4 linked regions of the Elephas maximus indicus genome follow. The protein of the gene in region 3 interacts with the protein of the main gene of each other region in a pairwise test. Links are inferred from orthologs where the notes say so. Each region holds a gene or a part of one and is shown on either strand. Other genes may lie near its edges.

Evidence for each region.
Region 1: the proteins of NDEL1 (region 3) and CEP170 interact in a two-hybrid assay, tested with the Homo sapiens proteins (2 studies listed by BioGRID and IntAct). The link is inferred for Elephas maximus indicus from reciprocal best matches to the Homo sapiens genes NDEL1 and CEP170.
Region 2: the proteins of NDEL1 (region 3) and CENPF interact in binary tests that used the Homo sapiens proteins (3 or more experiments, as listed by UniProt). The link is inferred for Elephas maximus indicus from reciprocal best matches to the Homo sapiens genes NDEL1 and CENPF.
Region 4: the proteins of NDEL1 (region 3) and MLLT10 interact in a two-hybrid assay, tested with the Homo sapiens proteins (2 studies listed by BioGRID and IntAct). The link is inferred for Elephas maximus indicus from reciprocal best matches to the Homo sapiens genes NDEL1 and MLLT10.

What each region holds. Positions count from the first base shown.
Region 1 is NC_064842.1:20,966,722-20,974,273, reverse strand, and holds the start of CEP170 (centrosomal protein of 170 kDa), read right to left. Parts: upstream 3,004-7,552; 5' UTR 2,586-3,003; intron 1-2,585. Other genes in the region: SDCCAG8 (serologically defined colon cancer antigen 8), read left to right, coding at 3,681-3,747.
Region 2 is NC_064842.1:3,497,040-3,504,344, forward strand, and holds the start of CENPF (centromere protein F), read left to right. Parts: upstream 1-4,285; 5' UTR 4,286-4,393; exon of another isoform or gene 4,394-4,575; intron 4,576-4,580; exon of another isoform or gene 4,581-4,663; intron 4,664-7,305. UniProt on the Homo sapiens protein: Required for kinetochore function and chromosome segregation in mitosis. Required for kinetochore localization of dynein, LIS1, NDE1 and NDEL1.
Region 3 is NC_064837.1:12,341,213-12,348,825, forward strand, and holds the start of NDEL1 (nuclear distribution protein nudE-like 1), read right to left. Parts: upstream 3,016-7,613; 5' UTR 2,912-3,015; intron 1-2,911. UniProt on the Homo sapiens protein: Required for organization of the cellular microtubule array and microtubule anchoring at the centrosome. May regulate microtubule organization at least in part by targeting the microtubule severing protein KATNA1 to the centrosome.
Region 4 is NC_064822.1:34,533,302-34,541,218, reverse strand, and holds the start of MLLT10 (protein AF-10), read left to right. Parts: upstream 1-4,910; 5' UTR 4,911-5,009; intron 5,010-5,037; exon of another isoform or gene 5,038-5,254; intron 5,255-5,301; exon of another isoform or gene 5,302-5,379; intron 5,380-5,511; coding exon 5,512-5,671; intron 5,672-7,917. UniProt on the Homo sapiens protein: Probably involved in transcriptional regulation. In vitro or as fusion protein with KMT2A/MLL1 has transactivation activity. Binds to cruciform DNA.

The sequences.
Region 1 (7,552 bases), on a different chromosome or scaffold from region 3:
AATTACAGACTACTTTTTTAAAACTAAGTCGAAATTTAAATGAAGTATTACTAAATTCTAAAGAAAATATGTTTATAAAAATCCAATGTGGGAATTAAAGGATAAAAATTATGAGGCAACATAAAAGGATTAATGGCAAAATCAACTCAATAAAAAAGCTTAAAATTTTGAAAAACAGTCCAACATGAATTTTTTCACAGTAGGTAACTTCTAACTTAAGTTAAAAATATTATAATCCATTAATCAAAGAAAAATGAACTTAATAGGTTTTTCTTATGTGACAGTTTTAGTTTTAACACAGTTTGCAGAACTGATCATACTATAAAATGCTATTGAATACCAAGAAATATATTAAAACATGGTCGCTAATTCCAACAGTCTCTGTCTTTATGAAAAACCGATGTTAAGGCATCTTTCCTTATACCAATAAGTTACTTTAAAAAACTAAGTTCCATTTCAGCAGAATTGCTACTTTCATCACAAGGAAAAAGGACTAGATTAATACAACTGGAATACCAATGAACTTGATTCTTAAGAAACAGTCGAAAAAGCATGTAGAGAAGGTATCCATAAATCTTCACAGCGTAGGAGTACTAGGGTTAGAAGACAAGGCACACAGGAAACAGCACTCTGCAGAACAGATCGTGGTTTTATCCGGCTCTGCCTTCCATTAGCAGTTTGGCTTGGAGACAAGTCAGTTAACTTTCAGACTTTTAGTGTTTCCCTCAGTCAAGTGAAGGAACCCTGGTGATGCAGTGGCGAAGCACTAAGCTGCTAAACTAGAGGTTGGCCATTGAAACCCACCAGCTACACTGTGGGAGAAATATGTGGCAGTCTGCTTCCGTAAAGATTTACAGGCTTGGAAATCCTATGGGGCACTTCTACTCTGTCCTACAGGGTCCTTACGAGTGGGAATCCATTCCACAGCAGTGGGGTTTTTTTCTTTTTTTTCTGTCAAGTGCACTCAGACTCTTCTGTTTTAAAATACCAAAATTCTACAGTATCTACAAAGTTGGAAAGAACAAGCAGCAGCCCTGGGGAACATAAAATAATGGCAGAAAAAACAAAATTCTTGTAACCTGCCATTCACCAATATAATATTTCCAGAGCTGAACTCTGAAATCTTTGAAGCATGCCTGTAACTTGGGTTCTATCAGTGAAGATCTAGATACCGTATTCAGAATGTAACTCTCTCCCACAATCTTACATTTTTCCTCCATCTGCTCCTCCCCACCCTGCTTCATTCTCTCTTCTGCTAATCTTAAGTAGAAACGCCCGCAAACGTTGTAAGCTTAACGATCAAATCATCTTAAAAGATTTTTTCCCAATCACATATTATCTGCTTCACTATAATTCCTCCCAAATGGGCGAAATTTCATTAAGAGAATGAAAAATGTTAACAAACGACTTCAGAAAGAGGAAATATACCAGGCCTCTTTTTTTGTTTGTTTGGCTTTGTTTTGAGTTCTTAAAAAAATGTAACGGAAAGATGTGTCCAAATCTATTCTCTTAGGAATACGAATACGTTACCCACCCAATGAAAAAACAATTCTGCTGGTTCATTTCCCTGCTACAAACAGCTGCATTGTCAGTCCCTTCGTAGCCCGCTCTTCATCTAGTAATTTCATATTGATCACCTTGGCAGCGTTTGGGCTCCAGCAGCAGGCACAGTCCCTGCTATTCAGGACCTTACATTCTTCAAATAAAACTCAACTAAACACCCAAAGCAGATTCTACGACCTAGACTACACTTCTTCCCGCCCTGTGTTAGGCAGATATTTATTTATTTTTTTCCCCTTGCATAAAACGAAGGGGACCATACCAAACCCTACACTTGGATTTCAGGACAATGAAACCGACAGGAAGCCACTCTCTCCTCCCCCGGGTTTACTATGGAGCTGGAGCCTACGCGGTTGACATCGCCAGGCGGGGTGCGTGACACCACGTCTTCCACGCCCTCCAACTGCGTCCAAAAGGGCTCCTCGCTCGACCTCCCCCAACCGTCCCACACCCCAAAACCGACCACACGAAAAGGACCGGCTCTGTCCGCTGCCCCAGCAGGGCTGCGGATCTGGGAAAAACCCCCTCCCCGCGCCAGCGCAGCCATTCCCTCGGGCCCTGCGTCCGCACCCTCCACAAACCGCTGCTGCTACGGGGGTGGGGGTGGGGGTCGGGGGTCGGGGGTGCACCGCACAAAGCCGGCGGGGGCGCTGGAAACGACTCTAGACGTTTAGGGGAAGAGAGGCAGTGGCCCGGAGAAGGCCGGGCTGGCGGCACGACAGGGGGACCGGTGCGGGGGACCCGGGGTGGCGGACCCGGGGTGGGGGACCCGGGGTGGGGGATGGGAGGGGCGGGGGACCCGGGGCGGGGGATGGGAGGGGCGGCCCCGCCGAGCCCCTGAGGCGGGCGCGGGGCGGGGTGGCGGCGCCGCGCGGAGCATCCGGGAAGCGCCCCCTTCGCCTCCCGGCCCCGCACCCCGAGCCCATGCCGCAAACCCGAGGCTCTCCCAGGAAGAGGAGGTGGAAAAGCGGCGGCGGCGGCGACATCAGCAGCGCCGAGCCAGAGCAGCCGAGCGCATCACTTACCCCTGACTGTGGCGAGAGGGACCGGACGGTGGAGGCGGGGCGCGTCGCGTCCCGTGAGTCTTTCGCACGCCGTCCTCCTCCCACCCCGTCGTCGTTGTCGCTGTCGCTGCTGTCGAGCTCCGGGCCCCTCAGCTCCGCTGGGCAATAACGTTATTCCACACACGCCCCACACATAGCGGTAACGGCAAAGAGCGACCGGCTAGTGCGCAGGCGCCTTGGGAAAGGGCGAGGAGCCGAGCCCTATCCCCTCCTCCTGCCCTGTCCCAACAATCCCTTACTGCGCAGGCGCCAAGACAGACAATGAAAAGGGGCTGTGCGGAGGGTCTCACCCACACGCTATTTCAGCTGCCCACTGCGCAGGCGTGTCCCAAGAACATCTCGAACAATGAACACGACCCAGGCATTCGCGGAACCGCAACCAACAAGGACTACAGTTCCCAGCGAGCAGTGCGCTAACGCCAACGGGAGGTCGGGTCGCCGGGCAAGCTAGGATTTGTAGTGTCGGCCGCCTTCACAAGCTAGACTGTCTAGGCTGTTCGGAGATATAGAGCTTCTTTTTCTTGAGAATTGATTTGGCCTTTGTGACAAATTTCAAGGATGAAAAGATTCAGAGCTTGTCATTTGAGTCCTTCAGAAGCCTTAGAGGTCAGCCGCGTATTAGAACATTTCGAAGACTCCCAAGGCCGACCGTGAAATCTTTCCGTCAGTTAGGTGGTCCAGACAGAAGGATGGCATGAAGGCCGAGCTATAGGAAAAGGGCGGGGCCTCCAAGCTGTTTCTTGGCAACCGGCTCTGGCAACCGAACCGCCGAAGTTGCTCCTGGAGCGCGGTGTTCTCTGGGAATTGTAGTGTAGTTGGAAGGGCTTAGTATCTCGAGGCTGGAGGTCCTGAGCCTGTGGACTACCACTCCCGACGTCCACCATTAGGGCCAGTGGGTGGGAAGAGCCCCCACGAGCTCCGTCCCGGGTTCCAAGCTCCCCAGTGACAGCAGCTGCAGGAAGCAGGCGGGCCCTCCCCAGGCGGTAGGCCTGTTCTCTGAGCGGAGCCCTCTGGACACGTCCCACTTAACTCCCATCTTGGGCCCCGGGTCCGGGCATGGCGAAGTCCCCAGGGAACTCTGCCGTAGAGGAGATTCTAGGGCAATATCAACGGAGCCTCCGGGGTGAGTTGCTCCGAACCTCTGTGCCCCAGCCCCTTGGTACCCAGGGCCTCGTGGACGGGAACTGACCAGATGCGTTTCCTGACACCTTGGTTAAGCCCCAGCCTGGCTGTATAGGAAGGAGATGGGCGTTGCTCTAATCTTTAAGGAAGGATGAAATCGTATGAGTTTGTTTGACGGTTGAGCGGCGTTGCTTCCCTTGATTCCACCCGAACCAACTCTCTGATCCTGATTTAGGCATCTTTCTCAACCAGTGCCAGCAGAAACTTGTGGACAGCTCTATGTCACTTTTGCCCAGTTCTCATACTTGGCTCTTTAATCCAATTAGTTTCTGATTCACACTTTTTACACATTCAAATTCTGATTTAGTAAGATGAAAGTGATTTATTGGATGGGGGAAAAACAATAATAATGGTTTTAATCGAAATAGCTTCTATTTAGTGGTCTAGGCTATTTACATACATTAGCTCATTTAAAACTTACAGTAACTTTATGATTATTCCTATTTTACACATGGGAAAATCGAGGCTCAGAGAGGTTTAATTACACGCTAAAGGCCACACGGCTGGTTACTGGCAAAGCCAGAGATTGAATTCAGTCCTGTCTTCCTTCAAAGCCTGTCCTTTTGTTTGTTTGTTTTAATCATGTCACAATCACTGTTACTGCAACCTTATTCATTTAATTCAGATTATTTTAGTACAGTTTCCCATAAGTGAGTATCTATGGAAGTGATGGTCATATTTGTAGTAGATGGCTCTGCCATCTTGGACAACTTATATAACCCTAGAAAGCTCAGTTTTGTTTTTTTAAAGTAGAGGTTGATGTATTGTCTACAGGGTTAAATGTGAGGAGCAAACAAAATAATCCATGTAAAGCAGAAATTTTCCTACTTGTTTTTCCATGGTACCCCAGGGTAAGAACTACATTTTACGTGGGACGTACACATGGGGCAAATATAACAAATATCGCTAAAGAAAACTTATTCTATTACGTGTAATAGACGCTATTTTCCATTATGTTTCATTTGCATAACCCACAGTTGGAGAAAAAAAATTATTTAAACTATTTAGAACATTGACTCGTTTGGTAAATGTTCACTGCCTACTGTGTTTACACATGCTAGGTGCTGGGGACACAGTAAGGAACAAGCAAGGTCCCTTCCCCAATGGAGTCTCTGGAATAGTGGGAGATAAAGATGATAAAATAATTACAGATTATTATAATAGAAAATAAGGGTAAGAATCAGTGCTTGGCACTTAAGAAACAATCATTAAATGTTAGCTGCTATTTATACTTGGTCCTGCAACAAAGTGAAGATTTTTCTAGGAGATTACAAAGTTTATCTTCTAGTAACTCTAGACTTTATAAAGGTTATTTATTGTTTACAGCTGTCAACAATGTTACAACCTGTCGACATTCTCAATATTCAACCTAGAGGAGTAAAAGAATCAGTCTAATGATGTTTCAAGCATTGTTAGATATTTATATGATCACTTAAAACTTTTCGTTTGAAAGCAAGAAAAGTACTGCGCTGAATGAATGGTTCTGCTTAGTTTTTGAGGTTGGTAACATTTTTTGGCCTCCATAAAAGTTTCTCCTAATGCTTTTGACGTAATTTTGAGCCTTTATCCAAGCATTGGAAACTGTTTAATATTAGACATTTTGATACAGTAAAAGAGTTAATTGTAAATTAATGTTGCAGTAATATGCTACAGTGGTACTGCTTTCAGTAATCAAAGAGTAAATAATTTTCTTTTGAATGTAACAAAATTTAAAGTCATTTCATTTAATGTGATAACAAAATACTGAAAACATATAGCCAGAAGGCAAAGAATATAGTAAAACAGTGTTTAAATCCTACTTTTAACAGTGTATCAATAAACGGGACCTGAATTTATTGTGGGTTTTTAGGATTTATTTTATTATTTATTTAGTAGCATTTTTTAATTTTTATTTGTTTATAGCACAGCTTCTGTAAGGAAAGAAAACATAACTGACTCTAAACGTACCACTCATTTAAAGAGTTACTCATTGCCTTTGAGCCTGTTCCTACTCATAGTAACCCCACATGGCAGAGCAGAGCTGTTCCATAGGCCTTTCTTGGCTGTAACCATTATAGAAGCAGGTCACCAGGCCTTTCTTCTGCAGTGCCCCTGGGTGGGTTCGAACCATGAAAAGATAATGCCCTTTAAGACAGAAATTTGTATTCCCATATAAAGTATGTTAGAGTTATTTTATATGTGGCACTTCATTATTTTGAGTGTGCCTAATAATTTAAGAATTATGTTAGTATGCAATCAGATAAATTGCGGCTCGAAATTCGTTTGTCTTGTATTGCTTTTGTTGATTTATTTGGTTTTGTATATTCACCACTGTTTTCCCAAAATGCCTTGCCTAGTTCATGCTCAAAGGAAGGCTAATAAATATTCTTGGTCTTCCGTGACAATTATTTCTCTTTTATTAAATAACTGTACATGTCAACATTACTGATACTCCTTCATTTATGTTCAGCTAGGAAATAAAAGGGACCCCTGGGTGCCTCAGTGGTAAGAGCTTGGCTGCTAACCAGGAAGTCAGCACTTCAAATGCACCAGCCTCTCCTTGGAAACCCTGTGGGGCAGTCCTGCTCTGTCCTTTAGGGTCACTATGAGTCAGAATGGACGCGATGGCAATGGGTTTGATTTCCATTTTTTGATTAGGAAGTAAAAATGCTAAATGCTTTCGCAGTTTTCCATGATAGTTCTTCCATTTTTATAGATTTTCTTAATTACTTTAAATATAATTTTTTGTACTATTATAGTATTTTAAGATTTTAAAGCTCTGACGTGAAAAGCAGAGTCAAAGTTTACTTTTTTGCTTTCAAAACTTAAGTGGAATTTTTCCTCTCCTTGATTCTGACTGTCCTGGAACAACCATGGAAGCAGCATGCCCATCTGCAGATGCCATTTTCACCTCTCATCCTTTCCTTTAAACTTTTAAATGCAGTCCTTGTTTGACCCCTCAGAGAATAGCTCCTGGTTTGAGTTGTTTGTGGCCTCTCAGCAAGAAATTGGAGAGGTTCAGTGATTCTTCTTTGATATGAGAATTCTAGCAGAAAAACTTAGTTACCTCACAGTTCTGTAATATTGTACCGACATAATAAGTTATCTCAAAGTTTCCAGTGTGATTTAAAAAGAAAAAAAGTGGGCATATCCCAGGTGTTAATCTAGAGTTGGAAGTGATTTGGGAGGTCTCCTGGCAGTATATTTAGGTGTCGTTCACTCTTATCTTCAATTATAAGTAGTTATAATTCAAGGTACACAGAGTGGCTGAGAACTATATTAGTAACTGGGAAGGATAACAAATGCCCCTCCTCTAATTTAAATTCAATGCACCATTATATAAAGCTATGAGGTTTAAAATAAACTACTTTGGGGCCAAGAAGGGGTCAGAAAAGCAAGAATAACAGGCAATCCAGGATCTGGTTTTAAGTTCTGTAAACTTGAGTGTAGGAATATATTGGACTAGCTAGGAAGAGTCTGCCTTAGTCTGGAAGCTCAGCTGAAACCTGTGTTCCATGGATGACCCTGCTGCTATCTGAATACTGGTGGCATAGCTTCGAGCATCGCAGCAACACGCTAGCCCCCACAGTACAACAAACTGACAGGCACGTGGGAGCTAGGAAGAAGGACCCCGCAGTCTACTTCAGAAAAGCATTAGCCAGTGAAAACCTTATGAATAGCAGCGGAACATTATCTGATATAGTGCTGGAAGATGAGCCCCCCAGGTTGGAAGGTACTCAGAAGATGACTGGGGAAGAGCTGCCTCC
Region 2 (7,305 bases), on a different chromosome or scaffold from region 3:
TGGTTGGATGGAAACCTACCTCCTCCCCCTCAAAAAACTGAGAAGCACTGGAGAAACCCTGAGAGTATGACCCTTGGATACCCTTTTAACTCAGCACTGAAGTCACTCCTGAGGTTCATCCTTCAGCCAAAGATCAGACAGGCCCATAAGACAAAACAAGACTAAATGGGCACACCAGCTCAGGGGCAAGGATGAGAAGGCAGGAGGGCACAAGAAAGCTGATAATGGGAACCCAAGGTCGAGAGGGGGAGAGTGTTGACATGTCATGGGGTTTGTAACCAATGTCACAAAACAATATGTGTATTAATTGTTTAATGAGAAACTAATTTGCTCTGTAAACCTTCATCTAAAGTACAAAAAAAACAAACTGAGGAAAAATAGAGGCAGAAGGGAACCATAAAATTCAAAAGACACAAAAATAGCACAGAAGTTACTAGAATAGTTTTCCATTACATGATTTCCTTGTTTAAGAATTGAGTGTATAAGGACTTATACTTTCTGATTTCAAAACATACTATCAAGTTACAGTAATCAAAACAGTCCAGTACTGGTGTAATGATAGACATATAGACCAATGGAAGAAAATTGAGAGTCCAGAAATAAGCCCACACATCTATGGCCAATCGGTTTTCAACAAGGGTGCCAAGTCCATTCAATGGACAAAGAATAGTCTTTTCAATAAATGGTATTGGCACAACTAGGTTCCCACATGCAAAAGAATGAAGGTGGACCCATATACCCCATACCATATACGAAGATTAACTCAAAATGGATCAAGGACCTAAATTTAAGAACTTTAGCCATAACTTAGAGCAAACACAGGGTCAGTGCTTCAGGACCTAGTTTTTGACTCTGGATTCTAACATATATGCTGGCAGTGCAAGCAACAAGCGGTGGGATAGACAATTGGACTTTATCAAAATTAAAAGCTTTTCTGCATCACAGGACTTTATTAACAAAGCAAAGACATAACCTACAAACTGAGAGAAAATATTGGGGAAGCATATAAAGGCCTAATTTCCAGAATATGTAAAGACCACCTACAACTTATCAACAAAAAGATAAATGACTCAATCAAAAAACAGGCAAATGTCTTGAACAGACATTTCACCCAAGAAGATATACAAATGGCCAACAAGAAGATAAAGAAGTACTGAACATCGTTAGCCGTTTGTTACTGTTGTTAGGTGCTGCCATTGAGTCACTTCCGACTCATAGTGATCCCATATTACAGAAGCAGATTGCCAGGTCTTTCTCCCGAGGAGCTGCTGTGGGTGGGCAGGAGGACGGTGGCTCAAACCTGGCAACTTTTTGGTTAGCAGCCACCAGGGGCTCCTTTCGTTACTCATTAAACTCTTTGCTGCTGAGTCTATTCCGACTCATAGGGACCCTATAGGACACAGTAGAACTGCCCCATAGTGTTTTCAAGGAGCAGATGGTGGATTCAAACTGCTGACCTTTTGGTTAGCAACCAAACTCTTAGCCACTGTGCCACCAGGGCTCCTTTAGTCATTAGGGAAATCCAAATCAAAACCACAATGAGATACCACAGAATAGCTATGATCAGAAAAACAGAAAACAACAAGTGTTGATGAAGATGTGGAGAAATTGGAACCCTCATCCATTGCTGGTAAAATTGTAAAATGGTACAACTATTGTGGATTGAGCCCATCAGCTGCTCCACAGGAGAAGGATGTGGCAGTCTGCTTCAGTAAAGAGGATAGCCGTGGAGGCTCTCTGGGGCAGTTCTACTCTGTTCTATACAGTCACTGTAAGTCAGAATTGACTCGATGGCAACAGGTTTGGTTTTTGATTTTTTATTGTAGAAAACAGTTTGGCAGTTCCTCAAAAACATAAGCATGGAATTATTTTATGTTCCATCAATTCCACTCCTAGATAAGTACCCCAAAGAACTGAGAGCAAGACTGCAAACAGGTTCCTATACCTCTATGTTCATTGCAGCCCTATTTACAATAGCCAAAAGGTAGAAACAACCTAAATTTCCATCTACAGATGAATGGATAAACAAAACGACGGCACTGAGTTTCAGTTTTTATTAAGAGAAATGAAGTCCTGCTATGACATGGATGAACCATGGAAACTTTATACTCAGTGAAATAAGTAGGTCACAAAAGGATAAATATCATATGATTCCATTTATATGAAATATCTGGAATTGGTAATAGTCAGGAAAGATGTGTGTCAGGGTTGTGCCTTTTCACCATACTTATTCAATATGTATGCTAAGCAAATAATAAGAGAAGCTGGGGCGCTCCTTGGAAACTCTGTGGGGCAGTACTACTCTGTCCTATAGGGTCACTATGAGTCGGAATCGACTCGACGGCACTGGGTTTTTGTTTTGGACTATATGAGGAAGAATGGGGCATCAGGATTGGACGAAGACTCATTAACAACCTGCGTTATGCAGATGACACAACCTTGCTTGCTGAAAGTGAAGAGGACTTGAAGCGCTTACTAATGAAGATCAAAGACCACAGCCTTCAGTATGGATTACACCTCAACATACAGAAAACAAAAATCCTCACAACTGGACCAATGAGCAACATCATGATAAACGGAGAATGGATTGAAATTGTCGAGGATTTTACTTGGATCCACAATCAACACCCATGGAAGCAGAGGTCAAGAAATCAAAAGACACATTGCATTGGGCAAATTGGCTGCAAAAGACCTCTTTAAAGGCTGAAAAACAAAGATGTCACCTTGAAGACTAAGGTGCGATTGTGTTTTCAATTGCCTCATATTCATGCAAAAGATAGACAACGAATAAGGAAATCGATGAATTGACGCCTTTGAATTGTAGTGTTGGCAAAGAATATTGAATATACCGTGAATGGACAAAGAACGAACAAATCTGTCTTGGAAGAAGTATGACCAGAATGCTCCTTAGAAGCAAGGATGGCGAGGCTGTGTCTCACATGTTTTGGACGTGTTATCAGGAGGGATCAGTCCGTGGAGGAGGACATCATGCTTGATAAAGTAGAGGGGCAGCAAAAAAGAGGAAGACTCTCAATGAGATGGAATGACACAGTGGCTGCAACGATGGGCTCAAGCATAACAACAATTGTGAGGATGGCTCAGGACCAGTAGTGTTTTGTTCTGTTGTACATGGGGTCGCTATCAGTCAGAGCCGACTTGACAACACCCAACAACAACAAAATGGCTGGTGGGGACAGAGTTTTATGAGGAAAGTGACATTGGAATTGGATACTGAATGGGGAGCAGCGTTTGTGAGAGGAGGGGACAGGTAAGAGCAGTCTAGGCTTCAGGAACATTCTAAGGAAAGGCAAGGAGGGTTGTGGAAAGCTTGGAACTTATTCAGAGACAGCTGCAAATGGTCAGAAATGTATTAATTCAACAATTCACTGCTTTATTTCTGCCTTCACAAGCTTATTTATAGTTGAATATTTATAGTTGAATAGGGAAATAAAGTATATAAAATGCAGAAAACATTGGTGGGCTTCCTGAAAAGGAGGGCTTATATCCAGTTTTGAAGATTCTTCTGGCTGCAAGGCATCAATCTTTGGTAGCAAGTATTCACAATCTCCTTTCCAGAATGGGATCGAGAGAGGGCAGCAGCTAGACCCTTGCATGTCCGGACTCAAATTCCATTTACTTAGCTTCTGTGTGTCTCAGTCACCGCAAAGGACCGCTAAGGATACAGTGGATGAAGAACGCATAGCAAACACAGCACCTGGTATCTACGTCCCAAGTTCAACATTTAATAAACTGATAAGCAGGTGCAGTGTCAAGTTTTCACCAGAACGCACACGCCCCGCTGGCTCTAAGACAGACCACGCCCTATTCATCAGCCGGCCCTTTCCCTGCCTTCTGCCAGAAGAAACCCAAACACACAGCGTAGACCCGCTCCGGCGCACAGCGACCCCGCAGGACAGAGCAGGACCGCCCCATAGGGTCCCAAGGCGGGAATCTTAGGGAAGCCGACCCCCACGTCGCTCTCCCCAGAGCGGCTGGTGGGCTTGAACCTCCCGCTTCTCAGCCGAGCGCTTCAGCCGCCGCGCCACCGGCCGATCGGCGTCCGGCCTCTTCCGCAGCACGTGGGCCCCGCCCTCCCGCAACAAAACCAGGAGGTGCCCCACTTCGGCGCTGGCGCAGGCGTCTCCGGGAGCGACGGCTTGATTTTAAAATCCATTCAAAAGGGCCAATCAGAAGCGGCGTTCCGAATCCGGGGAAGCAGATTGGCCCGACGATACGTACAAGTGACCAATAGGCTCGGAGGTGGGCGTGACCGGGCCGGAAGCGGACGAATGGAGACCGAGCGGCGGCGGCAGCGGCGGCGGCGGCGGGCGGTTTGAATCGGGAGCTGAGAGCTGGGCTCCGACCGCGGGCGCCGCGCCGGGTTCTCGGACAGGTGTGGTTCCCAGCGAGGTGGGCGTCCGCCTGCGCCGCGCCAGGCTCTCGGACAGGTGTGGTTCCGGTTCCCAGCGAGGTGGGCGTCCGCCTGGGCCGCGCCGGGCTCTCGGACAGGTGTGGTTCCAGTTCCCAGCGAGGTGGGCGTCCGCCTGGGCCGTGCCGGACCGCACTCTCGGACAGGTGTGGTTCCGGTTCCCAGCGAGGTGGGGAGCGCCGGTTGGCCGTGCACTGGGCGGCGGGGCTCCAGGGCGTCGACCCCTTGCTCCAGGTAAAGCTGGCGCTTTGTCCCGCTCACCTGCCTGCGCTGCAGCTGCTCCAAGCGGCCATCCAAGTCCGGCAGCCAGCGGCTCCTCTTTGAAATCCGGCCCTGGCCTTTTGTTGTATTCTGGGGATGCAAGTTTGGGTTTTGATCTGGACGGCGGGGTGGTGAGCCTATTTTTAGTGCATTTTAAGCATTTTTCTCTTCCTTCTCTTTCCCTCCTTTCCACATTTATTTGGACGTGCCTGTGTGTCAGGCTTTACCGTGTGTGAAACCCACCCAAGTCATAGCCACCCTACGCGACAGAGTAGAGCTGCCCCATAGGGTTTTTAGGGCTGTAAATCTTTATGGAAGCCGACTGCCACATCTTCCTCCCCGGGAGCTGCTGGGGAGGTTCCACCGCCGAGTCTTTTTTTTTTTTTTTTTTGGACCAGCCGAGCGCTTTAATCACTGTGCCACCAGGGCTCCTACCATGCGCTAAGGACCCAGAAATAAATGCCGTAGGTCCTACCCTTTTTTTTTTTTCCTGGTCTAAAGGACACTTTGAGGCCCAGCTCAGGTGCTGCAGACACTGACTTGGGTTTCTTGGTGGACAGAGCGAGGATTCTGATAGAAAGAAAGCTGAAAAACACATTGCCCTGCAGGCCTGGGTGGGTCCCACAGGCACTTTCTGAACCTCTTGGGGCTTAAAGGGGTTGGGTGATTCCGGCCTGAAGAGTCCCTCCACTATTCAAGGTATAAAGGTGCAGTGTTTTCTAGAGGACGAGCCTGCAAAATCAGCCTCCCAGGGACCTTAACACACAGGGCTTTCTTCAGCCCACTGTCCCTTACATCCTACAGTCAGGTTCACGGTTTGCTTTTTTCCTTTTGCCCCCAGTGGCCTGATGTAGAAGGTTGATGGCTGACGCTGAATGTGTCCGTGGCTCTGATCACAGTGGGTTGGGGTCTGGTGATTGCTTTAACCATTTTTTTATGGCTGTATCTTTTTTTTTATCTTAGACTTTGAAATAGGAAAGCATTCAAGCTGCCACTCTTCTTCTGTTTCCCTCACGTCTGTCGTCTTTCTGGATTCCTCCTTTTAATCTAGAGCTTGATTTAGTAAAACACAGACAAAAAAAAAAAAAAAAATGAATCCTCACCTGTTGCCAAAGATAACTGGAAGTTGAATGACTTTACTTTCACTTAAGTTCTAAAGGCCATACTCCTACCAGATGATTTAAATTTCCTATGAGTCGGAATTGACTTGACGGCAGTGGGTTTGGATTTTGCTTTGGTAAGATGTGGCTGAGAAAGAGATAGGGCACTTGGCTCTGTACTATAGAATGACAGATAAAAATAATGTCTTCAGGGCTAACACAATAACTAGTATATAGAGAGGGCTTAGCAGGTGGCACCGTTCTGAGGGTTTAATAGATTTTTACTTACTTCATCCTTACAGTCACCCTGGGAAGTCATCACTAAACCAGAAAACCAAACCTGTTGATGTTGAGTCTATTCTGACTCATAGGGACCCTACAGGACAGAGTATAACTGCCGCATAGGGTTTCCAAGGAGTGGCTGGTGAATTTGAACTGCTGACATTTTGGTTAACAGCCTGAGCTCTTAACCACTGTGCCACCAGGACCCTGTTTGCCATTCTTATTATCCCCATTTTACAAATGTGGAAACAGCACAGAGCAGTTAAATAATTTGCCCAAGGTCATACATCTTGCGAGTGCTGAGCTGGGATTTGAATCCAGGTTTGAGTCATTCGGGCTGCACACCTGTTTGTTCTGCCAAGGCCTGTCGGCAGCCTGGCTTTACTGCCTTTTGCAGCGATTCTGGTACTAGTGTGGCTTTCACTCTGTTCGTTTATTCACTCATGCATTCATTCAACAGATTATAACTGTAAAAGAGAAAAGGGTACCTGTGCTGTGAGAGACTGACTACAGACAGGGGGGACCAGGTCAGATCTCAGGGACGGCTTCCCAGAGGAAGATGACTAGAACTGAGGGACTAAGCATGAGTGGGAATTAACCATGTGAGGAAGGGAAAAACATCTGTGAAATAACTTATGTGTTTTGTTTATTTAGAGCCCCTAACTCATCTGAAACTTATAGCATGAACTTATAGCAAAGTGTTCATGTTTTGTGTAACGGCTGAGCTGTACAAGTCAGGTAACCATATAACAAGTTAAAACTGAGAAGTAAGAAAACTGGGAAACTAAAACTGCTCCTGAAGCCAACTTGTCAGACAAAGATTAGATGGACTATAAAACATAAAATGATACTGGTCAGGTGTGAGCTTCTTAGCTCAAGTACACACATGAGACTATGTGCGCGGCTCTTGTCTGGAGGCGAGACGAGAAGGCAGAGGGCGACAGGAGCTGGTTAAGGACACTGGAAATACAGGGTTGAGAGAAGGAGCATGCTGTCATAGGGACAAAAACTAGGGTCACATAATAGCGTGTGTTTAAGTTTTTGTATGAGAAACTGACTTGAATTGTAAACTTTAAAGCACATACACACACAGGAAAAGAAAACCAAAAAAAAAAAAAAAAAAAAACCCAAAAAAATTTGGGATGCAAGGGAGGCCAACCAGACATATTATGTCCTTTATGATCAAGGTTATTGGTTTCAGGGGATGGAGAAGGGCACTATTATACTTGGCTG
Region 3 (7,613 bases):
CAATTACCCCTGTCCCAGTCCAGAAAGCACATCCTGGAGAAACTCCAGAACCCCAGAGGTAAAGAGAAAATCCTAAAAACTTCCATAGAGATAAAACCAGGCCATATACAAAGGATTAGGAATCAGAATAGACTTCTCAAAAATAAACTAGAAACTCACAAAGACAATGGAGCATTGCTTTTAAAATTCTGAGAGAAATTAAAACATAAAATAATACTTGTGAAGAGTTTGTTTCTTAGTTCAAGCAGATACATGAGACCAAATAAGCAGGTCCTGTCCAGAGGCAGGATGAGAAGGCAGGAAGGGACAGGAACTCGTTGAATAGACACAAGAAACCCAGGATGGAAAGGGGGAGCATGCTGTCACATTATAGGGATTGCAACTGATGTCACATAGCAATACACATATAAATTTTTGTATGAGAAATTAACTGGAGTTGTAAACTTTCACCTAAAGCACAATAAGAAAAATGAGAGGGTAAGCCCAAAAGTCCCACAGTCAAATGACAGGAGTTCCAGAAAAACAGAACAGAGACAATAAAGGGGAAGAAATTATTTTTTAAATACTAATAACCAAGAACTTTTCCCAGAATTGAATGACATGAGTATCTATATTGAAAAGGTCTCCCAAGTGTCCAGCACAATGAATGACAAAACACACACGCAAAGTACGCCCTGATAAAATTCCAGAGCCCCAGAAATGAAGAGAAAATCCTAAAAACCACCATTGAGATAAAATCCAGGCCACATATGAAGGATTAGGAATCAGAACAGACTTCTCAAAAATAGACTAGAAGCTTAAAGACAATGGAGCATTGCCTTTAAAATTCTGAGAGAAAATTTATTTCCAACTCAGTATTCTAAACCTTAGCTAGACTCTTAATAGAATAAAGGCATTTTTTTCAGTCAGAATCTGAAAAAAATTACCTCCTATGTATTGGAAGATGTGTGACACCAAAATGAGGTAGTAAATGAAGAGGAAAATGTAGGATGCAGAGCGCAGAAGATTCTAGGACGATGCTAAGGGATTTCCCAGGACAACACTATGCAGTAGGCCTAGAGAACAACCAATTCAGATTAGAGCAATAGCATGAGGCTTCAGGAAGGTGTCTGTAAGGAATTTTTTAAAAAAGGAAAAAATATAGAAACTGATAGATCTGATCATATTGAGAGCCATCAGTGATATATACATATGTAAAGACTAAGCAAATGAAAAACTGAGGCAATTATCAACTCCAGGGAAAACAAAGAGTTGTCAAAGAAAGGAAACAATAATAATATACTATATAACTCAGAAGATAACTTTTACATAGTCATAACAACATACATAATGTAAATGTGAATATCGATTTAACCAAAATTTGTGATATAAATATATTAGAAGGATAGAGAAGCAATAATGTGGAGATAGGGTGGAGTAAGAGTGCTACATTCATAGGTTTCATAATAAGAAGTCAATAAATTATTAATGAAAGATAATGACTAAAATAAAAAAATAGCCATATAGGCAACTCACCTGGAAATAGAAGTAACTGTAAGAATTGAAAGTGTTTCTCTCTGGTAGGGAGAACGTTGAAGAGGGGAGATAGGGCAAGGAATAGCTATTTTTCATTGAAAGCTTTGTGTTGCTTTAATAAAAGTAGATACTAAATTTTAAATAATAAAATAGTATGACTTTTCCTAGGGGAATCCAGACAAATGAATCAAAACTATAAATGAACATATAACCTTTCATCCAGCAATTCAAGTTCTAAGAATTTATTCTAAGGAAATAATGGAACTAGTGCAAAGATATAAAGTAAAGCAGATGGTCAGTGAAAACAGAAAACCCTCAGTCAGATGGATTGACACAATACCCGTAACAATCATACCAACATTCGTAAAGATGGCGCGGGACCGGGCAGCATTTCATTCTGTTACTTGTAATGTCTCCGTGAGTCAGTGCAGACTTGACGACAACTAACAATTCACTACAGCATTGTTTATTATTATAGCAACAAGTTGAAATGATTAAATACCCATCAATAGATAGCAGACTGATTTAATAATCCATGGTACAGCCACACAATGGAACAAAACACAGCTGTTAAGAAGGACAAGGTAAATGCCCATGAATTAACATGAGATGATATTCAAGAGATATTATTAAGTGGAAAAAGGTTTCAGGACAGTAAGTAAACTTAGACATAAAAAAAAAAAAAACTAGTTCTAAAAGTGTAGAAGTCTATGCACCAATGTATTAATAGCAGCAATCTCTGGGGATGGGATTATGTGACGATTTTCATTTTCTCTGCATTGTTTGATTTTTTCCAGCTGTCATATATTACCAGGAAAAAATACACCTAGTTCCATTTAGAAAATAAAAGTAACCCCAAACCCTGAAGAATACAATCCTAAAGTTCATGAAACACTTTCACAATCATTGCCCCACTTCGGTATCACAGAAAATAGGGACATTTTGCCATTTTGTAGAGGAGAAACCAGGCTCAGTGGAGAAGCCCCTAATGTGGTCAGCTCAGTTCTATTTCAGTGCGTCACACTGAAGGTGTCCAGTCAGCACCAGATAAACCTGTCTCAACACACGGAGCTCCCTCTGCAATCCAGAAAAGCACTACCTGGCCGGTCCAGGAAACAGAAAACCAAAGCAAGGGGATCCGAATCTTTGGGAGATGTGGGCAGACCAGGTGGTTTCAGAATGCCACCAAAGCAAACCCCTTGTTTCACCCCCACGAGGACATAACTAACATCGCAGGGCAAAAACTAACCTCAGCCTTCGACCATCCCACCCCCACAAAAGCAGAGGGGGTCCTCAGACCACCAGGAGCCTCCTTCCCTGGTGTCTCTTAGGCTGGCCTTCACCTGGCCCAGAACTTCTCCAATGAGACCTCCCACTCCCCATCATCCCAGTGTACCTGGTTCTGTGTCCCAGGTGTCCGCTGATTGCATCGACGGCAGCACACAGGGGCCCACCCTGGACCAGATAAAACAAAGTAGCAGTCAACAGGAAGGGTGAAGATCACCATCTGACAAAAGAGGCGCAAGAACAGGAAGTGGGTTACGACCAGGAAGACTGGGGCCACCCTGCCATCTAGAAGCGAGGCAACCCTGTCAGACTTATTGCTCAGCTGAGGTTGAGCAAGTCTTCAGTGTTTGGGGAGGAAAAAAAAAAAAGCCCTAACTCCTTAGCCGGTGTCCTTGGGTGGTGCAAACGGTTAACACACTCAGCTGCTAACAGAAAGGTTGGAGGTTCAAGTCCCCCCAGAGGCGCATGAATCTATTCCCAAAAAATCAGCTGTTGATAACTCTGTGGAGGTATCTCTACTCTGACACATATGGGGTCGCCATGAGTTCAGATTGACTCAATGGCAACTGGTGTGTGTGTGAACTTCTTAGCCAGGCCTTCAAGGTCCCCTGTTTCCACTGCAGGCATGTAGCCCACTGCTCTTCTAGACAAATGTTCTGTCCTCTCCCCATCCCACCCCCACTTTCCTGCTTCTGTCCCTGTATTTGGAGGGTGCAGGCAAGGGGAAGAAAAAAAGCTTATTGAGGGTAATTGATAAGCAGACATCACCCTTGTTTTTATCCCCAAGGGGGCCCAGCTCAGAACTAGGCATAGTACATGATGTGGTACATAACAGCATGAACTTCAAGTCAGATAGACTTGACCTGCCGCTTTTAGTTGTGAGACCAAGAGCAAGCTGCTTGTCATCCCTGAGTCTCATTTTCCCCGTCTATAAAATGGAGATAATACCAGATGATACCTCTTAGCATTGTTGTAGGACTTAAATGAGAAAATGTGTGTAATTGGCTTGGTACAGATCCAATTAGTCCCTTTTAGCTGTTAGTGGTTGTCCCCTGCCTTTCCAAATTCGACCCACTTTTAAGTCTTTACCAGATCAGAAAACTTTAGCCTGAAGTCACCTAACACTTCTCACCTCTCCAAAAACTGTAGGTTTCATCTGTTAATGAGTCTCATCCTGGTAGCATAGTGATTAAAGCACTCGGTTCCTAACCAAAAGGTCTTCGGTTTGAACCCACCACCAGGTCCATAGGAGAAAGATGTGGCAGTCTGTTTCTGCAAAGATTTACAGCCTTGGAAACCCTATGGAGCAGTTCTGCTCTGTCCTATAGTGTCTCTGTGAGTCAGAATTGACTCAATGGCAGTGGGTTTAGCTTTAGAGAAGAAGCACCATTGTTAAGAGCTGCTACCGAGGTCCTTCATTAATCATTACTTTGCCATGATGATGTTTTTTTCTCCCCAAGATCACTCTGTGAGGGTAGGGACTGCACAGGTTTCCCTCTGTGTCCCCAGGAGCCTCCAGCAGAGCACCGGAAGTTAGTCCATAAATATCCGTGGACTTCAGAGATAGTAAGGAAACAAAGCACGCAGGTAAACTCAGCTGCGGAAGCCACAGCCGTGGGGCTGATGTTTTGCACGCTGTGCAAATGCTTTGCATGAGGGCAGTGCCAGGGCCAGAGAACCCTTAGTTGTTCTCAGCTGCTCTGAAAATTCCCTAATACCCACAGGGATGTGGAATGCGGGAGTGTGCTAAAAGCCACAGCTCTATCTGCCTGGAAGTCCTGCTCCCACCCATCCCACACATCTCTAGAAGGAAGCTTGCTGAGCCTGCAGCATCCTTACCCAGTTTCCCTTGAGTAGATTCCTACTCATGGCAACCCCATGTGTCCCCAAGGAGAACTGTACTCCATAAGGTTTTCAATGGCAGATTTTTAGGAAGAAGATTGTCCAGTCTTTCTTCTGAGGTATTTCTGGATGGGCTCAAACCTCCAAACTTTTGGTTAGCAGCCCAGTGCATTACCTATTTGCACCACCCAGGGACTCCATAGCATCCTTACATCTCCCTTGAAAGCAGCCCTGAGGTTAGCCACCTGCTGATAGGAGACCTATCCTCCTGGTTCTCTGTCCTCACCTTCCTGACCCTCTTCTTAGACTATGGACATTCTGATAGCTAGGATGGCACCCTCTTCTCTCTCTCTCTCTTTTTTTTTTTAAAAATTGTGGTGAAAACATACACCCCAAAATGTCCACCAAAACAACAACTTCCACATTTGCAACTCGGTGACACTGATTACATTTTTCATGTTCTGCCACCGTTATCGCTATCCTCATCCAAAACATTCCACCATCATTAACATAAATTCATTGCCCCCTGTCTTAGTTATCTAGCACTGCTACAACAGAAACACCCCAAGTGGATGACTTTAAACAGAAATCTGCTTTCTCGCAGTTAAGGAAGCTAGCAGTCCAAGTTCAGGTCACCAGCTCCAGGGGAAGGCTTTCCCTCTGTGTCGGCTCAGTGGAAAGATCCTTGTCATTTTTCAGTTTCTCTTTCTTTGCTTCTTGGAGATCTCATATGGCATGGCGTCTGTCTTCCTCCATCTGTGCTTGCCTGCCTAGTTGCTTGCTCAATCTGCTCTTTCATATCTCAGGACATTGAATTAAGACACATCCTATACTAATACTTTCTCCTTAACATAACAAAGAAAACTCATTCCCAAATGGAACTATATCCACAAGTATGTTGTTGTTGTTAGTTGCTGTCCAGTCAGTTTGGACTCATAGCGACCCTGTGTACAACAGAACAAAACACTGCCTGGTCCTGTGTTATCTTCACAATCGTTGTTATGCTTGAGTCCATTATCGCAACCACTGTGTCAATCCATCTCATTGGAGGTCTTCCTCTATTTCGCTGACCCACTACGTTACCAAGCATGATGCCCTTCTGCAGGGACTGTTCCCTCCTGATAACATGTCCAAAGTATGTGAGATCCTTGCTTCTAAGGAGCGTTCTGATTGTACTTCTTCCAGGACAGATATGTTCACTCTTTTGGCAGTCCATGGTATATTCAATATTCTTTGCCACAAGCATACGGATTAGAATTTACAGCATATATTTTGAGGGACACAACTCAACCCATAACAGCCCCCAAAACAAAAACTCCCTCTTTCCCCTTAGTAACCATTAATAATCTTTGGTTTCTAGATATCTGCTTATTTCATATAAATGAGATTAGGTACAATTTGTCCTTTTGCAGCTGACTTATTTGGTTCAGGATAACATTTTCAAAGGTTCATCCATGTTGTGGCATACGTCAGAACTTCCTCTCTCTTTACGGCTGCGTAATAGTCCTTTGTACGTATACTATCACATTTTGCTTATCCATTCACCTGTTGATGTCCCTTTCTGTTGTTTCCACCTTTTGGTAACTGCGAAAAGTGTTACGATGAACACTGGTGTGCAGGTTTTTGTTTGCATTCCTGCCTTCACTTCTTCTGGATACATACTTAGGACTGGGATTGCTGGGTTACGTGGTAATTCTACGCTCAGCTTTTTGAGGAACCACCAAACTGTTTTTTCACAGTGGTTGCACAATTTTACATTCCCACCAACAATAGATGAGGGTTCCAGTTTCTCCACAACCTTGTCAACACTTCTTGTTTTCCTTTTTTTTTTTCTAATGAGGGTGAGATGAAATCCATTATGGTTTTGATTTGCATTTCCCTAGTGGCTAATGATGTCGAGCATCTTTTCATGTGCTTGTTGATCATTTAGAAACCCTGGTGGCATAGTGGTTAAGAGCTACGGCTGCTAACCAAAAGGTCAGCAGTTTGAATCCACCAGGTGCTCTTTGGAAACCCTACGGGGCAGTTCTACTCTGTCCTGTAGGGTCACTATGAGTCGGAATTGACTTGACGGCAATGGGTTTTTTGTGGGGGTTGATCTTTTGAATATCCTCTTTAGTGAACTGCCTGTTCAAGTTCTTTGCCCATTTTTTTATTGGGTTGCTTGTCTTTTTGTTGTTAAGTTGTAGCAGTTTTACATACATTTTGGATGTTTGGCCAAGATGGAAACTGAGCCCTGGTGGCAGAGTGGTTAAGCACCTGACTGCTAACTGAAAGGTCAGCAGTTTGAATCCACAAGTGGCTCCACAGGAGAAAGATGTGGCAGTCTGTTTCTGTAAAGATTATTGCTTTGGAAGGCCTATGGGGCAGTTCCACTCTGTCCTGTAGTATAGGGTCGCTATGAGTCAGAATCAACTAGACAGCAATGGATTTGGTTTTTAGGCTAAGATGAAATCTTCTTAAGAACGGCCTCACAATCTTATGCCCTTTGACTTACATCCCACCAGCCTGCCCACCTAATTCCATTACATCCCACCGGCCTGCCCACCTAATTCCATGCTTCTCCTGGTGTACCCCATGCCTCGTTGAGGCTTACTATGTGCCAAGTACCAAACCAAGTATTTAAGTACAATATCCTGCTTTAATCCTCAACCCTACAAGGCAGAGGCTGTAACCATTTTACAGACGAGGAAGCTGAAGCCCAAACAGGTCACGCAACTTGTCCAGTCACACAGTAAGAGGACTCACGCTCTAACTTGTGTTGCAGACATTTCCGTGAGGTTTCATTTACTCTGGGAGGCTGTAAAATCTTTGAGGGCACAGGCCATGTTTACGTCTCTCCCACCTCACATGGGGCACAGGACCTTGCAAGGTCAGCATGTTCTAAATTTTAAAGCCACTGAATGTGAGTGTCACCAGGGAGCTTGCTAGAATTGCAGACTCACAGGCCCCACCCCAGTGCAACTGAG
Region 4 (7,917 bases), on a different chromosome or scaffold from region 3:
TAAGTGCCACAGTGAAGTAAAACTGACAAAAAATGATCTGGAGCTTGTGTGTTTAATTCGTCAGGAATGTTAAGCTTCATAAGATTCACCCTATGGGGTCATGTTGGTCCTTGGTATTGTTACTGTACAATTTCAAGGGGTAAATATACACATTATAAATTTTTAAAATCTCAGATGTACTAGACAGTTTATTAATGGAAGGAATTAAAAAACTGAATTTGTCAGTCTCATTCTGGGACACAATGCAGTTAATTAACATATTCTTGGGCTTGTTTCTGGATTTGCTAAGCAGTGGCCCCTTTCAGAAAGGAAAATATTTAAATTTAAAAAAATGACCTTTTTTGGTCAAAGTAGTCTTTAGCAACTACTTTAATTCCTTTTTTCCCCCCCTTAGTCCAAGATATGTTTCATTTCTTTCATGGTTCTCTTCCATTTCAAAACTTGATTTTCCTCTTTTCCATATCCAGAATCTTTTCCCTTAGATAGCCTTATTGTATCGATAAAGACACAGAAATATATCACTTTAATCACACTTTAAGAGAAATGCAAATCTTAAGTGTCAGTAGAAAACTGGGAACCTGGACTTCACAATCCCACTCTTCCATTATATGGATGGTTTCCTGAAAAGTCAAAGTGTAACACCTTTAAGTATTGTTACATCATGGAAAAAAAATAGCCCAACTCTGGAATGTTCCTGGGATTTATGTAACACCCAAAAGATCTGAAGGCAGCTTTTATATATTATTTTTCTATTGGTAATTACATGGTGTTTTACCCAAAAATGTAAATACAACCAAAAGATATCAATTTAATTGCAAAAGGAATGGCTCCGAAGACAAACACAAGATTAACCAAACCAAACCTCTAAAGTAAATATTAGGCCTTTATTCTTAAAAAGATTTATTTAGATTATATACAATTTAAATTTTAGAATTACCTAACTAAACTTTCCAAAAATTAACTGTATCTAACAATATTAATTATGATTGATTGTAAGTTACAGTCTGTTCTGTAATAAAATTATTACTTTTGCATGAAAGGTGGTTAACATTTGAGGACTATTTAAATACAGACAATTCTAAACTACCTGGTAAACAAAAAGTCTTTACATATATTAACTTCAACTACTGAAAATCTTTAAATTTATCTGAAAATTTGTTAATCATTACTTAGAAAATTTAATTCAATTATACATGCAAAGTAAAGTTTTGCTTTATTCTGAAGAATAAAGCTCAAACTGCAATTAGCTTGTAAACACTACTACTGCACATTAAATAAACATTTATTGAGGGCCTACTATGTGCAAGACACTTGCTAAGGGTTATGGTAAGTAAAAAAATCACCCAGTAAGGTTAACTCTGCATGAAATGAAAATTTCTAAAAACTATTAATAGTATCTCGATTTAAAACAAAATTAAAAACAAATACCTTTTTAGAAAATTTGTAATGTAGTACTCCATGATATAGGTGCCATGCGTGTGTTTGTATCTATAAAGATACAGTACTCATTTATGGTGAGATAAATAACAAAACTAGATGCAGAAATAGCTCAGTATTTTAATCATAGTAACTTAAATACATGGCTTATGATAAACTTTTCAGGTAAAAGATAAGAACCCTTGGCCACCAGATAAACAAATTTTTAACTAGAGATTCCTTTATGTAAAAGATGACAGATATGAAAGTTTGTACAGATCATAAAGAACGTGCCTTTTTGAGTTTTCCAATTAATTTATTTAGAAACAAGATTATTGTTTCAATAAGATTTAGTGGACACATTGATCCTAATAATTGCTTTTTGTTTAAAAAACTTAGGATCAGAGGCAAAATAGAATTTTAAACACTTTGTAGAAGTCAAGAAACTGAGTGAAGGAAAGTGTATCTGTTCTTTGCATTATACAAATTTACCTCAACAATGGGTATAACAGACTAAATATAATATGCATAAACAAAAGGGAAAGAAAACATTAAAAAAAGAAGATAAATATGAACAATACTAACTTATGAACCAAATGTAGTTGTAAGTATTTCTTTTAGGGTATCTACTTACGTAAATGATTATGAAAAAGCAAATACAAGTATTTGGTGCCTAGGTTAAGGAAAAAAGAAAATTATTAAAAGACATATTGCTTATAGTTTCCCACTAAGAGTTAGAGGTTACATCGTAAAATACTTGAGTTTTTTGTGATTTCCCTCAGAGAAATAGATGAGCTAGTACTGAGTTAGCTGCTGTTATGTGAAGAATATTAGATACAATGGACTTTTATTTTGTTCTACAGGTACTAGATGTACTTTTTAGAAGGATATTTTGAGATTGTGGAATCAGATTTAAAGGGAACATTATTTTATAAGATTGAAACAGTCTTTTTTTATGAAGTTACATGACAAATTCCATGGTAATTTCTTTTTACCTTATTATATATTTTAAAAAGGAATGTAAACTCTTAACAATTCTGGAAATTCAATAATAAGTTTTATCCATTTTGAGGTCTGAGAATTAGTATGTTACAGAAAAAATTGACCAATTGTGCGTGTACACATACACATGCATACATTTGTATATGCATATATACACATGTATAAATATAAGTTGCTTTCTTACAAATATAAGTTGCTCACTGCTTTTCCTGCATCCAAAACACACCCCAGCACACAGTAAATGGTCAATAAATATTTATCGAATGAATATATAAATAACAGATATCTGAACTATTTTATGTGTTATTGTCCGTTTTCACTGTATTTATAGAAATACACTAAATATTATACTTCTGTTACATAACTTAAAAGAAAAAGCTAAAATGAAAATGACTTATTTATACCTATTGTTTTTTCGTATAATTTTCATAACATATTTCAACATGTTAAAATCCATTTAAAATAATGAAAAATTTGACTATTGTTATCAACATTTATACGTACATCTTTAACCAAATTCCTGCCTGATTCCATTATTTATATACAGACTTGATATGAAATAGGATATTTTCTTTTTTTAACTTCAAAACTCTTACAGGTTGTGATTTTTCTAAAATAAGCGTTACAGAATAGGGTAAAGTACCCACCCTTCCTTACGTATAAATCAATTCCATCATAAGAACTAAGTTCTAATACATGAAAAATAAAACAAATGTATTTTTTAAATAATCTAGTGCATTAAGGCTTAACCAGAGTTTTTGGAAAGGAAAGTTTCACATTGATTTTAATTCAAAATTATTCTACCTTAGGAGTCTGAGCAGGAATTGGATGTTGAACTGGTTGGTAGTCTTTATATAAGCATAAAGATAAAATACACAGTTAAGATACACAAAACAGTATAGTTTTGCTTGAAGACAATTTTTAGTTTTGTCAAGTATCAATTACATCTTAAAAACATAATTATATGTTCACAAATTTATTAATTGTTGCCATCTCCTAAAGAAAGAATCTACATTTTATAAGTATAAACCTTTTTCTAAATGCGCTAATACAGCTAGAAGACTCATTTTTGTGTCTCTTTAATGTATATTGTCATCTTATGCTTTAGATTTCCATTATTGTAGATCTCTCATTTAGCTTTTAATACATTTGAATATATTTGCTTATATATACTTGCATTGTATTATATCTGTTATAATTCTTAAATAGATTTCTAGCAAATTATTTGGAATAGAAAAAAACAGCCATGCACCCATTTTTTAATCTTTATGAGAATATTTGGAATGTTTTTAAAAGCTTAAACCAATATATTATCTTTTGGTTACTGACTAGAACTTGGGTTCCTTCCTCCATCATCGTCATATAACTGCATTTTCCAAATCATCATGTTATATATTGCTAATTCCTGATAAACTTTCATTTTTATCTGCAAAATATTAACCAGAGCCATGGAGTCACCTTGTAATCATGCTGGTCATTTAAACAATCTACCCATACATTCCTATTTCATGCTAAACTTTTATAACTAGACACTGTTTTTGATTAAAATCAATATTGGGCTTACATGGATACATATGGGATTGGGGGAGGGGGAAGAAGATCTTACAACAGCTTGCTTAGTAGCCAGGTGTGCTAGTTAATGTATTCAGATAGGCCTAATCCATTTTGTATCTGAGGGACCTCTTTTTCTACTTCCTGCCACTAAATGACCTCAAATTTTCAACAGTAAATTTGGAGAACATAGCCAGATCTGAGAAATCCTCAATCAAAACTGACTCCAGCATCTCATGGTGTTTACATTTTCGTGACTGCCTAGGATAAATTGGATTCCTTCATCTTTTAGCGTCGCATAAGTGCATTTTCCAGATCTTCATATTATGGATTCCACGGCAACTGGTGGTTTTGTTTTTTTTTTTTAAATTCCTGATAAACAACTCTGTGTACTCCTACACACCAAGCTCAGGGTAGTCTTGATGTTATTAGTCCTCTCCCGGTATAACCCTAACACAGGCTTTTGACCTTCAGTCTGTGATGCACTTTCATTTGTCACTGGAGCCAATGTGGTGTGTAAATGGGCAGTGGATTTGGTGGCACTTACATTTGGTGAACTTTGGGTAGAGTCCAGGATGTGAATTTAATGGGTGGAGAGGCTGCGGCAGTACTGGGAAGTTAGCATGGCCAACTGCAGGAAGCCATGCTTCATTACACCGCTCATGGAAGGCTGGCATTCATGCCCAACCCGTTACTCACGGGCCAGTTCTTGAGGAATATGCCGTGAGGTAGGTTCCTGGTGCAGGAGGTTGGTCCCCCTCGCCCTCTTGAGAGTGCCCTTCAGCTACTCTAACAAAACCCACAACCGGCCCCTAGCATCATCCTTCCCCCTTCCCTTCCATCTAAAGCCTCTCCGCGGCGTGCACACGCAGCCCGCGCGACCGGCGCTGCAGGAGGCGGCCCCAACGTCCCCGCCCCCGCGTGCGCGTCCCCGTTGGCCCGTTCAGGCCTCGGCGTGCTGCTGGCTCCACTCGCTCCCACCCTCTGCAGCACACCTCCGCCGCTGGGACCGGCGCGGGGGAGGGAGAGGGGCCCGGGAGGTAGGCTGGAGCTGCAGGCCGGACGCGGCGGCGCGCACGCAGGCCCCGCCTCTCCTCGGCCTCCTTCCTCACGCCCGCCTCAGGGCTGGCGCGCACGCCGAGTGACGCTCGGAGGAGGAAGCGCAGCCCTGTTTCCCCTCCCTCGCTGCCCCGGGCCCAGCGGGAGCCCCCCCAGTGCGCCTGTGCGGAGGCCTACTTGATTATGTGTGCCCTCTCCAGGCTTCAGCGTTAGCGGCCGGGTGGAGGTGGGGAGGGAAGAAGACGAGGAGGAGGAGGCGGTGGAGGCGGTGGAGGGGAGGTGGGGGGAGTCAGCAAGGACATGGCTCCTGACTCCTGTGCGGAACGTGAGTGACTGAGCGGCAAAGCCCGAGTGAGCGAGCGGCCGAGCGGCGGGCGGGGGCCGGGACGCTGGGGAGGGAGCGGGGCCCTGGGTGGCTGTGCGGGGGGAAGCACTAATTGGTTTGCATGTGTTTTTTAATGGTCCTCCCCAACTCCCTCTTAGATGGTCTCTAGCGACCGGCCCGTGTCATTGGAGGACGAGGTCTCCCATAGTATGAAGGAGATGATTGGAGGCTGTTGCGTTTGCTCAGACGAGAGAGGCTGGGCCGAGAACCCGCTGGTTTATTGCGACGGGCACGGCTGCAGCGTCGCGGTGCATCAAGGTAAACACCCAACCGCCCGCCGGGCCGAACCCGGCCTGCTCCCAACCGTCACCGCTTCCCCCACCTTGGCATCAACTGCCGGTTCCCCTTCCGCCCCTCCCCCCACCCCACCCCCGCCTTATTCTGCGGTCCAGGATTTACTCGGAGGGTCTGCAAAGGGGTAGAGGGGGTGTGGGCTGTGCATGTGGGAGAAAGTGCGTGTGGCCTGGACTGTCATGTGATTCTGCTCTCACTCTCTCAAGTGTCATTTGGCCGCCGCCTGCGCCCGGAGCCGTGGGTCTGGAGACTTTCCGAGGCGGTGGTTGGAGGAGGGGGCGGTACGGGGCTGCGCCCTGCGCCCTGGGCTAGTGAAGGGGGGCGCTGAGCGTGCGCCCCTCCCTCCTGTCACCATGGTTGTGGGTTTGGGTTTGGGAACGTTGAGACCCCTCCCCCTTCACTGCCTTCTCCTGTTTGCCGCAGTGTGTCTGGAGACTTCCTGTGGTATGGAGACTGGCTCCGGAACGCGACTCCCTGCGATGGGGAGGGTGAGGGGAGAAGGGGGATTGCCTTGCCCCCTTAGTGAGGGAAGGCGGTTACTGCTGCACCCCAAGCTTTCTGGCGGAGGCACTGCTGCTGTGGACTGGGAGCTCCTGCGGAGAAGACGGCGAGAGGCCGCCACCCCCCACTCCTGCTGATGCTGGAGAGTCTTGGCTGAGCTGCCCTGGGCTGGTGGATAAGGCTGTTTTAAGTGGTTGCATCAGGCCTCTTCTTCGGTTTCTGTTACTGAAGACAAGAGGAGGTGGTGGTGTCACCAGTGACTTGGGAAACATCTTAGTTTATTTTTGGGTGTTTCCATTTGGTGAGTTTTTTGGATATTCAGAAAACCCGAGGAAACTAGTAGGATATTTTTTGGTCATTGAAGTTGTCACTGAAACAAGCTAGGTAATTTTTTGGTGGCTCTTAACCCTCTCCATGTTTATTCAGCATCCTGTGCCTTTTCCTATTTCTGAATCTGGCGTTGAGTGATGCACATGTTGTTTAGTAGTGTGTTGGAAAAGACTCCCAAATGAGGGGAAGGAAAATCTGAACGTAAGGTGCTAAAGTGCATTCTTAATAGAATGGAATGTGGGAACTGTGAAGGAGACTTACATGCAGTGGTGATGATTCTGAGACGGTGAATAAACGTCAGAATGCAGTTATTACCAGTTTCTTAAGGACAAGCAAAGTTGCACACTCTTTTTTAAGATGGCGTGTCAAACCTAGGTATTTTAAGGTCTTAGGGCTGATGCATAGTATTTCTATTAACAGTCTTCATTGGCACGTGTTTATGGGGTTATTTCTTACAAATTGGATGATAAATTAATCAAGTTTTGATGAGTAATTTCATCTCTCAATATAGAAAATGTTCATTTAAATCTTAAATTTTCCTTTCTAGAATTGTTTCCAAGATAAGATTTAACCATTTTTTGTAGGTAAGAAGAGAGAAGCAAAATTAGACTCTTGAGAGCAAAGTTTTTGAACACTACTGCTGTGTTTCTTGTCTTATAGAACACTTTTAACCTTGACATATTTACAGATGTTTTAAAGGGATTAGAAAATTAGCTTTTGGAGTTTTAGAAATTTCTGTCGATTTTATATTTTTTGTATTTAAGTTCCAACATTTGTTTTCAAATTTCTGTTGAGCAGGCTCATGTGAGAACTTTGGTTGGGTGTTAGTGTTTTTGGAAATATTTCCATTTTTCACTAATTATATATTACTATTAAACAAATTGTTAAGACCAGGCTGTCATTTAGGTACAGGATATATATTGAGATGAATTGTTGGGTCCATCACGTTATATACTTAGCAGTAGACATACATTTCACTTTTTTAAATAATAGCTTTATTGAGATATAATTCACATACCATACAATTTACTCGTTTAAGTGTACAGTTCAGTGATTTTTTAGTATATTCACAGCGTTGTGCAGCCATCACCACAATCTATTTTAGAACATTTTCATCACTTTAACAAGAAGTCTCATACCCATTAGCAGTCACTCCGCATATCACCCCAGCTTCTGCAGCCCTGGACAACCACTATGGATTTGTGTATTCCAGACTTTCCATATAAGTGGAAGCATTTCACTTTTAACTTTACATTTTGTTTTCTGCAGTATCAGTTGCTTTTTTGAAAGATGCTTTTGAAATATTTTCATTAATTTAACTATAAAATATAGGAATGACTGAATGAATTTCTAAGTTATTCCATGCAAAATATCTGTTA